Linked DNA regions of Saccharomyces cerevisiae S288C. The gene in region 1 interacts genetically with each later gene. Each region holds a gene or a part of one and is shown on either strand. Other genes may lie near its edges.

Evidence for each region.
Region 2: mutations in VHS1 (region 1) and PEX32 together harm fitness more than expected from each alone (negative genetic interaction), as found in Saccharomyces cerevisiae (3 studies listed by BioGRID).
Region 3: mutations in VHS1 (region 1) and YGL235W together harm fitness more than expected from each alone (negative genetic interaction), as found in Saccharomyces cerevisiae (3 studies listed by BioGRID).

Annotation. Positions count from the first base shown.
Region 1 is NC_001136.10:953,895-957,737, forward strand, and holds VHS1 (putative serine/threonine protein kinase VHS1), read left to right. Parts: upstream 1-2,118; coding exon 2,119-3,504; downstream 3,505-3,843. Other genes in the region: MNN10 (alpha-1,6-mannosyltransferase), read left to right, coding at 1-87; TRAPP subunit TRS23, read left to right, coding at 394-1,053; YDR246W-A (uncharacterized protein), read left to right, coding at 1,239-1,439. UniProt on the Saccharomyces cerevisiae protein: Probable serine/threonine protein kinase involved in the G1-S transition.
Region 2 is NC_001134.8:570,217-574,059, forward strand, and holds PEX32 (Pex32p), read left to right. Parts: upstream 1-2,154; coding exon 2,155-3,396; downstream 3,397-3,843. Other genes in the region: TYR1 (prephenate dehydrogenase (NADP(+))), read right to left, coding at 1-984; ribonuclease P/MRP protein subunit POP7, read right to left, coding at 1,252-1,674; adenyl-nucleotide exchange factor SSE2, read right to left, coding at 3,699-3,843.
Region 3 is NC_001139.9:53,534-56,315, reverse strand, and holds YGL235W (uncharacterized protein), read right to left. Parts: upstream 1,038-2,782; coding exon 501-1,037; downstream 1-500. Other genes in the region: tRNA modification protein MTO1, read left to right, coding at 520-2,529.

The DNA.
Region 1 (3,843 bases):
AGAGATTGCTGGGGCGAGATGCAGTACTACACCACTTTAATGGAAAAACTGAATAGGAAATGGTACACGAGATTTTTCTTCCCATAAAATGGAAGTTATCAATATTGTAAAGAGAAGCATTTACAAGCTTTTATTTTTCTTTTTAATTTCCACTACTGGTTCTGCTTTAAAATGTTGTTTTATAATTTATGTACATTTAGGCCTATAGAAGATTCTTTCAATAATATGCTACACATTCTTTTATTTTTCCATCATATGTTGGAGTTTATGCCTCCTCGGCAGGAGTTGGGCGGTGCGAAGAGAAGAAAAAGAGTGAAACTAAAAAAAGGAATCTGCCTTTGCATAAGTTCAAAAGTGCAATTTTAGTGTTGGATTTAAACGGGAAAAATTGAAATGGCCATCGAAACAATACTTGTAATAAACAAATCAGGCGGACTAATCTATCAGCGGAATTTTACCAACGACGAACAGAAATTGAACAGCAATGAATACTTAATTCTTGCTAGTACACTGCACGGTGTATTCGCCATCGCGAGCCAGCTGACTCCGAAGGCATTACAGCTAACTCAACAAACGAACATCGAAAATACCATCCCATATATACCTTACGTGGGCATGTCCAGCAATAGGAGCGATACAAGAAATGGAGGTGGCAATAACAACAAACACACTAATAATGAAAAACTGGGCAGTTTTAAAGGAGATGATTTTTTCAAAGAACCATTTACGAACTGGAACAAGAGCGGATTGAGACAACTATGCACGGATCAGTTCACGATGTTCATATATCAGACCCTAACCGGCCTGAAGTTTGTCGCTATCAGCTCCAGCGTCATGCCCCAGAGACAGCCAACTATAGCCACCACCGACAAGCCTGACCGACCCAAGAGTACATCCAATTTGGCCATCCAAATAGCCGACAACTTCCTAAGGAAGGTTTACTGTTTGTATAGTGACTACGTCATGAAAGACCCATCTTACTCAATGGAAATGCCTATAAGATCTAACCTGTTCGACGAAAAAGTCAAAAAAATGGTAGAAAACCTACAATAGACGCACGCGCCATCGGAAGATAAACGCATTCACACCAAGAAAATAAATACTACGTACTTCTAGAACTAAGAAGAAGTTGCCGCTCTCCGTCTCCTCCTTCATAAATAGGGATAGCTTTTACTACTACGTACGAAAAAAGACCACACTGCGACGGATCCTCTGCATCCCAACACCAGCGATAGAAAATGCGCCGCCTATATCGTCATCTTGCTTCCTTTTTCTTACTCCCTTCCTGCCCTGGAAACACCATACAATCCATCACATCATATCCTGCCAATGCACTATTACGCAGCTTTCGGCACGTGAGTACGGAAACACCAGTTCGGAACCGGGTACACAATAGGGATAGTCAAAGCTGTCCATTTTTTCCGCTGATGGATGACTGATACCAAAGTGTAACCCAAAAGGGGTAGTCGATCCTACTTTTACCAGTTACGTTAAAGGGACCAAAACGTGGGGAAGGGATGCCGCCACCACCACCGCCACTACCCCCGCCAACATGGCCTAACTTAGCAGTCCTCGCTTGTGTATCTAGGTCCGCGTCCGCTAATTCGCGCGGCTTGCCACTTAACCCCGTCCAGTTAATTTGCCAAGCAGCGGCCGCACGTTGGAACGTTTTCGCCGATTTATTTATTATTATTTATACATGTTGACGTTGGTGCCCTTTTGTTTATACTGGAGCCTAAAACGTACCTCAATTAAATTTAGTGTGCCATATTATAGTGCTATTAAACCTTTATTTTTATTTTTAATTTTAAAACTGCTTTGGTTCTCTCCCTCCCTTACCGTTGCCACCTTAAGACTCACTGATATTTATTCATACTTACAAGTGCTATAAGAAAAGACTTGATTTATTAGCTTTACAGCGTTTTTACATTTGTGTCACTGCTATTATATTTTTGTTTACCTCTTTTTGTTGCTGGTGTTGGCGCTACCATTGTTTTTTTGTTTTATGAGTTACGTTTACAAAAGTTCTTAACATTTACTGTACGATAATATACTAAGGTGAAATACTAAAGTAAAATAAAATAAGAGAAAGAAAAAAAAAAAAAAAAGAAAAAAGTAATGATGATGTTCCATAATTGCAGAATTAATAACTACTTAATAACTTCTCAAATTGGCGAAGGCGCGTACGGTCTGGTTTACCGTGCCTTAGATATTCGTACCGATAGACAATACGCTATCAAAGCGGTTGTTCAAAGTTACGGTGTTAGCAAGGAGGCTGATATGGGCAATGATAAAATACACAAAAATAGCGTGAAATTGCAAAAGAAGCTCGCTAAACTGTTCAAGGAATCGAAAAACGTTGTCAGGGTGCCCTCTATAGATCTAGAATCAATTGAGAATATGTCAGAAGAAGATTTTAAAAAGCTGCCCCATTATAAAGAGATTTCGCTACACCTAAGAGTCCACCATCATAAGAACATTGTCACCATACATGAGGTGCTACAATCTGCAGTCTGCACGTTCATTGTCATGGATTATTACCCAACAGACCTATTCACGTCTATTGTAGATAACAGACATTTTGTCACTAATGGACTGCTAGTAAAAAAGGTTTTTCTACAGATCTGTTCTGCTCTTAATTATTGCCATGAGCACGGCATCTACCACTGTGACATCAAGCCTGAAAACTTGCTACTGGATACAGAAGATAACGTTTTCCTATGCGATTTTGGTCTATCCACTACTTCCACATATATAAAGCCAAATGTTTGCATTGGTAGCTCGTATTATATGCCCCCTGAAAGAATCTCATTTGATGGGAGAGTTTCCAGCTCTAAAAGTGGGGGACATAAGTTGGGTAAGGTTTGTCCCTCATGTAATGGCGATTTGTGGTCATTAGGTATCATCCTTATCAATTTGACATGCATCAGAAATCCCTGGCTGAAGGCTGACAAAACCGAGGATAATACCTACTATTATTTCACTAAGGATCCCAATATACTAAAGCAAATCCTACCGCTTTCCGATGACTTTTACTCATTATTATCTAAGATTTTACAAGTGAATCCGAAGAATAGAATGAGCTTGCAAGAGTTGATGAAAGAAGTTAGTTCTATTACAAGCTTCACCAATGAAGGCCCGTTATCAAAAGTGCCGCCTCTTTCCAAGTCTGTTTATGAAAAGTTCGTTAGCCCCGTCGATAACACGAATGAGAATTTGTCTCCAAAATCCTACGTGTACATGCACGATAGTAAAGCTGCCAAGAATTTATCTTATACATCTTCAAGTGAGGAAGAAGATGGAATCAAAGAAGGGATAGACGATGATAATGGCAGTCGCAGTGGCAGTTTCGGAACGCTAGACACAGACACTGGATTGCATTCTTCGTTCACAAGCACTTCTTGCGAGTCCGATAACGAATGTTCTAAGATTTCCAACAAATTTTCCTTGTTCGAAAAAAAATTCAACGAACTTCGCATGAGTTCCTCTTCTTTAACTAACTAACCCCCTCCTTTTTGGCACAAAAGTGTACTACACATCTGTTTTAAGCCCACAATTGATAGACCTTCTCTTGATGATCATCTGTTTTCCCGAAAATATTACTTGCCAAAGCAAGTTGTAGTTATATTCACACTTCCGTTATGACCCCCTCATCCGTTTAATGTTATTTGTTTTTATGGTATTCCCTTTATTCATTTTTTTTCTTGCTTTTTTTTGTTGATCCCTGTAACCCCTTTTTTTTTTTTGGAAGTTGCTATTATTATTCATTCACATTTGTTCTGTCTTTGTTAATTTTCCAGGTCACCGTATTTAATTTCTATATAACTGTTTCTAATATTTACT
Region 2 (3,843 bases), on another chromosome or scaffold:
CAACAATGATAAATGTGAATTCGGCACTGGCTTGCAATTGTTGCTGTTACCAATGCTGCTTTTTGATAGCGAATATTTCTCTAAAATCGTGTCATCCAATAGTAAGAGACCAGTATGCTTTCCAAATACAAATTGCTTAGCTTTTAATAGTCTATCAGTAAGTTCTTGTTCTTTGTTATCTATCATTAAACTAAATAGTTCTGTTGCACTGGTTGCATATTGAAGAATTTGCTGATGTGCACTTGGGTTTGTTATGGCTAATCCTGCGTAAACATGCCACTTGTTCGAATAGATTCTTAGTGATATATTAACTTTCACATTTTCTAGGCCACCGTACCATTTGTTTACACCCAGAGTCCAAGGATAAATCTTTATCTTTGCCCACGCAGATCCCATACTTAAGAAAGCAGCATGTGTCACAGCTTGTGTATCAGCGGTAATCTTGTCATGCTCTTCATATGTCAAATAAACTTGCTTACTTTTCAAACATGCCATAACAGAATTAACGAACTCAAAAGATTCTGGGTACTGTGATCTGTGATTGATAATAACTAGTGGTTGGCCTTCAGTATTAACTTTAGGCCCATGAAGGGAATGCACGGTAATGATGTCGCAGTCCTTGGGTAAATACTTTTCGAAAGCCTCGATTTCCGGCAGCTTACAACTCGTTTGACCCCCAACAATTGTTCCAACCTTAGAAGATGGTCCATACGTTGCGACGATCTTACTAATATTGGATGCTTCAACACTATAGATAATATAGTCGCTTTGCCTGGATACCAAATGACCATTTTTCACCAGTTCGAATTTAGCTGAGGCATATTTTTCTTTCAGTTCATCATAATATTCTTCCCTATCACAACATATAACACCCCATCCAGCATCTGTAAATTTATTAGCGTATAATAGGCCCATATCACCCAGACCAATTATACCAATGACTTTTGTGGCTTTCCATTGCTCAATCTTATCCTCTGATACCATGTTTATCAAGTGGATATGCTGTCCTCTTTCCTTCAAGTGCTACGGTATTCTTGTAATTCTAAAAACTTTTCTTGGTTTGAATAATTCCAGTATCACTTTCTTCAAAGCTTATTTTCATATAAGGCCTCAAAAAAAAAAAAAAAAAATGACACATAGCTGAAGTGATAAACTTACTACACTGGTATAACGCTTATTAGAGGAAATCTAATAATAAACTGTTAGCTATAAATAGTATACAATAACAATGAGCGCTAAAAGTATGACATATTAAACATAAATACGCAATTCTACACCGCTTACAGCCCTTTTCTTTAGTTGGGTTTCTTTATCGTCATCTTCAACATCACTTTCCATGTCGATATCAGCTTGGCCTTCAGTTATTACTTCATCAAGAACTTCTATAGTTTTAGTGTAAACCTCTATTTTCTTGTTCTTCTGATCTTGAAAATGACAACCTAATGCCAGTGTCTTTTCTACAGCTTTACCCATACCCAAAACCGCAACATAGGATGATCCTTGCTTATGAACGCTATCGAGAAACTTATTTATTCTTTTCAGTGCACTAACGTATGGTGTTGTAGACTTAACGAAAATTGTTGTGTGTATTTGCTTATGCGTTAGAGTTTTCAAAGATGGGTGTTTCGTTACTCGTTTGGTAGATTTGTTGTGTGTATTCTTTTTGAGTGCCATCCTGGGTGCAGAGTTCTCTTTTCTTCTTTGACCGTCAATCTTATTGCTTATTTCTGAATAGTTAAGTAGCTCTTTACAGAGAGTGAAATTAAACAAATGGTCAAACAATCGCAGGAAAAAAATGAAGAAAAAACATTTTTTCGAAATGACATGAGAAGACTATTGATGTACTTCTCATGATTATTCAACCATATTGAGCTGGACAGATTTTTACCAAATTGATTTGGGAATTTTAGACATTATTGTTGTCATACCATTTTCATATTCAATTCAACAGCCTGGTGGGGAAGTAAAGAAATTATCCCCGAAACAAATACCCTTTTATGCTTATTTCCAAGAATTACTGGAACACCAACTGCAAGGGTAAACAGAATTGATGAAGAAGGTGCAATCACTCGAAACTACTTCATACTTTCTCTTTTCTTTCATTGATCTTAATTTAGTTCAGTGGACATCATTTTGCTAATTTCAAGGAAAGAAATGGACACAAATTCTAAAACCAAAGTACAAACTGAAAATAAAAAAATTAAGGCGAAATTTATACATAATCATGGGCAAAAGCCCTCTCTTATCCAAATTACACCTCCAATGATTTCCAGCACTCTGTTTCACGCATATCCACTACTACTAATATTCGACAATGCCTTAGCGAATATAATGTGGCTGTCCGACGATAAATGTTTAACATTCATTTATCTAACGAGCATATGGCTGACCATAAGTTTTTTTATCCCCGTTGAAACAGAGGCTAGCCATTTTCTGCCATTTACAAAGATTTTGAGACTATGGTTAGGCATTATAAGCGGGGCATTTCTATTCTTATCATTCATGTATTATATTGTTTCATTGATAGCTTCGTTAAGAGACACGGAACCTCCTACATTGGATGAAATTGTCGTGCTACTAGAGTCTGTGTTGGATAAACTGGAAGTACTGAGAAACGAGCTGAATGTTTGGAAAAAATTAAAGCTTTCATTTGATGGCGTCAATAAGGAGTGTTCTGGCAAGAGGTTGTTTTGCAGATTATTCTTATTCGGTACAATTTTTCAAATTATTATCATGAGATACATATCACCGGGAACTTATACTAGATTTTTTATTATTACCGGCTTGATATACAATACGAGTAGTTTTCAAGCTACCTTAAGGCTACTTTGGAGGTTTACTGCTGTTAGGAATTTCTATTATTTGGGGATTGAAAGTTTTAAAATTTCGAGTTTCTTACCAAAACACTTAAAGATGGAACAAATTATTCCTTTATCTCAAGGACGTGCAATCACGGTGCCACTGGTAGAGGTATTGCCTAAACTACTTCGGGACAAGAAGGGTGATGACCACATTCATATTCTACAGCTTCTACTTAATGAGCAAAAAGATAACTTTGGTAATGAAGACCTTAAAATACTAGAAATTGAAGTATACGAAAATCAAAGAAGGTGGTATCAAAATAAAAATTGGAGTACAAAATTACTGCCGTACGAAAGACAAAACTACTGCATAGAAATTAAAAACACTGATGGAACTTTAACCATGAGGAGTTGTTTGCCCCCAGATGGACTTGGTGAAGAAGAATTACCCAATAATTGGCATTGGATCAATGATAATTGGGACGGAACTGATTGGATATATTCAGATTCAGCATGGAAAGAAATTGGACAATACAGTTCTTTGGAAAGTTTTACCAGGTCAAGAAAATGGAAACGACGCCTCTTCCATTTGTAATAGTATTGCTTTAAGCCTCTAAACTGCATATATAGTTGGTTGCCTAACATTATCATGATATGAAGAATTTTCTCATACTTTGAAACATAGGACAAGTAAAACTTTATAAGATCATGTGCACTTTGTGTATGTTATTTCATAATTTTCATTAAATTCTTATAACGGCTTATGTAGAAATAATTATCATTTTTATAATAGAAGATTGAATATAGAGGTAATGTATAAAGGGCACATAATGAAGCACTAGTGGTTCATTTAAGAAAGAATAAAGAGGGAACAATCCAAATAGACAAAAATTCCGATTAATCAAGGTCCATGTTTTCATCATTGTTGTCATCGCTATCATCACTTGCAGCGCGTGCCCTTCTTTGCTCAGCCAATTTTTCAGCAATATCATTCATTTTAGAAGTTTCTTGATTCGCTCTGAGTGCTTGTCTTTTTTCTTCC
Region 3 (2,782 bases), on another chromosome or scaffold:
TTACCAGGACACGAGTCAGTCGGCACTTGTCACTACCGACGGGGCGAGTCAACTGAAAAAAAAAATGAAAAATTTTGAAAAAAAAAAAAAGCTGCTTACTGCCACTATTAGTCACGGTATGAACAACGGCAGTTGAAGATTAGACGATTTCTTAACGCTTAGGTAGTTATTAGAGTATGATATAGTAGATTCAAGTTTATGATATCTGTCTGTCCCTGTGTGGGGTTGTAGTAATGCTGTGGCTTCTTTCTTGTTACTTAGATATGGCGTTGCAGAAGGAACGTACAAAGAGGTGCTTCTTCATCCGGGGGTCTTCTACTTTTGTATGGCTCTTGATCGCCACCGTGTAATCGAGCCCTTGTGGCTTCTCTAAGGTACCTGTGTGCGGCCACTTTCTTTATGGTTGGTAACGTATGGTGGCATCTTTCACAGACGGATAAGTGCGGTTTAATTCTTCACTTAAATCTTGAGGGCATCCAATAGTTTCTGCAGAATACCAGCTAAACGCCCCAAAGAACGATGCTGCGTGTAACAACCTTGGCGTCTTCGTGTACTTCATTTCCCTTACAGGTCCTCAGGAGGCGGTTGACCATATCTTCTTTGACAAGCTTCCAACCCACAACCAAGACACAGGTCGTGGTCATCGGTGCTGGACATGCAGGCTGCGAAGCTGCAGCTGCGTCATCTAGGACTGGTGCGCATACTACTCTCATTACACCATCGTTAACAGATATTGGTAAGTGTTCGTGCAACCCCTCTATTGGTGGAGTGGGTAAGGGCATCCTTGTAAAGGAAATCGACGCTCTCGATGGGCTGATGGGCAAAGTAACTGATCTCGCTGGAGTGCAATTCAAAATGCTGAACAGAAGCAAGGGTCCTGCTGTGTGGGGGCCCAGAGCCCAGATAGACAGAGAGTTATATAAGAAATACATGCAAAGGGAACTTTCCGACAAGAAAGCACACCCCAACTTGTCTCTGCTGCAGAACAAAGTTGCTGACTTGATCTTGTATGACCCCGGATGTGGCCACAAGGTCATCAAAGGTGTGGTTCTGGATGACGGTACCCAGGTTGGGGCAGATCAGGTCATAATCACTACAGGTACGTTTCTCAGTGCAGAAATTCACATCGGCGACAAGCGTATTGCAGCAGGAAGAATTGGCGAGCAGCCAACATATGGGATCAGCAATACTCTACAAAATGAGGTGGGCTTTCAGTTAGGGCGTTTGAAAACAGGCACTCCGGCTAGGCTGGCCAAGGAATCCATTGATTTCAGCGCTCTGGAGGTCCAGAAGGGAGATGCGTTGCCTGTCCCTATGAGTTTTCTGAATGAAACCGTGTCAGTCGAACCCACGAAGCAACTGGATTGCTTTGGCACACATACCACACCTCAAATGCACGACTTTTTGCGCAATAACTTGCATCAATCCATTCATATTCAGGACACGACCATCAAAGGCCCCCGCTATTGTCCCTCCATCGAAGCTAAGATTCTAAGGTTTCCTGATAGATCTTCCCATAAGATATGGTTGGAACCAGAAGGTTTCAACTCCGACGTCATTTATCCGAACGGGATATCCAATTCTATGCCTGAGGATGTCCAGTTACAAATGATGAGGCTCATCCCGGGCATGGCAAACGTTGAGATCTTGCAGCCGGCATACGGCGTGGAATACGACTACGTAGACCCACGGCAATTAAAGCCTAGCTTGGAAACAAAATTGGTGGATGGACTATTCTTGGCCGGACAAATAAATGGTACTACAGGCTACGAGGAAGCCGCTGCACAGGGGATCATTGCAGGTATCAATGCAGGATTACTATCGCGCCAAGAACGGGAGCAATTGGTCTTGAAAAGGTCCGAAGCGTACATTGGTGTGCTCATTGACGATCTAATCAATAATGGCGTCATAGAACCATATAGAATGTTTACTTCCAGATCAGAATTCAGAATCAGCGTAAGAGCCGATAACGCAGACTTCAGACTGACGCCCATTGGTGCTCAACTAGGGATTATATCTCCTGTCCGTTTAAGTCAATATTCAAGAGACAAGCACCTATATGATGAAACAATACGGGCGCTTCAAAATTTCAAGCTAAGCTCTCAAAAATGGTCTAGCTTACTACAGGCTAATATCGCGCCACAGGCTGAAAACAGATCTGCTTGGGAAATATTCAGATTCAAAGATATGGATCTACATAAACTCTACGAGTGCATTCCCGATTTACCCATTAATTTGCTGGACATCCCAATGCATGTTGTCACCAAAATTAACATTCAAGGTAAATACGAACCTTACATTGTCAAACAGAACCAGTTTGTGAAGGCATTTCAGGCAGACGAAAATATGCTGTTGCCGCAAGATTACGATTACCGTCAGTTACCCACGCTTTCCACTGAATGCAAACTACTCTTGAACCGCGTACAGCCATTGACCATAGGCCAAGCAAGACGGATTCAAGGTATCACTGCGGCAGCCCTATTTGAACTCTACCGTGTGGCACGGAAGCCAAGCCAACCAGTCATGTAAATATCCTTTAATCGTTAGCTTGTATATGTAAATAATTCATTGTATGTAACCATCAAATTCGTTATTTAGCAATCTTACCCGGAAAACTTCTTGTATCGTAACATTAATTCTCCCTTACAAGGGGACCTCGATGAATAAATAAAGTGTTTGTGTTGAAGGTACTTGCAAAAGGGCAACTCACTGTCGTTTATAATTTGATTTACTAATCGCATCTGTATTTGGAAAAGCATTTCTTTTTGGAAGAGGAACAAGA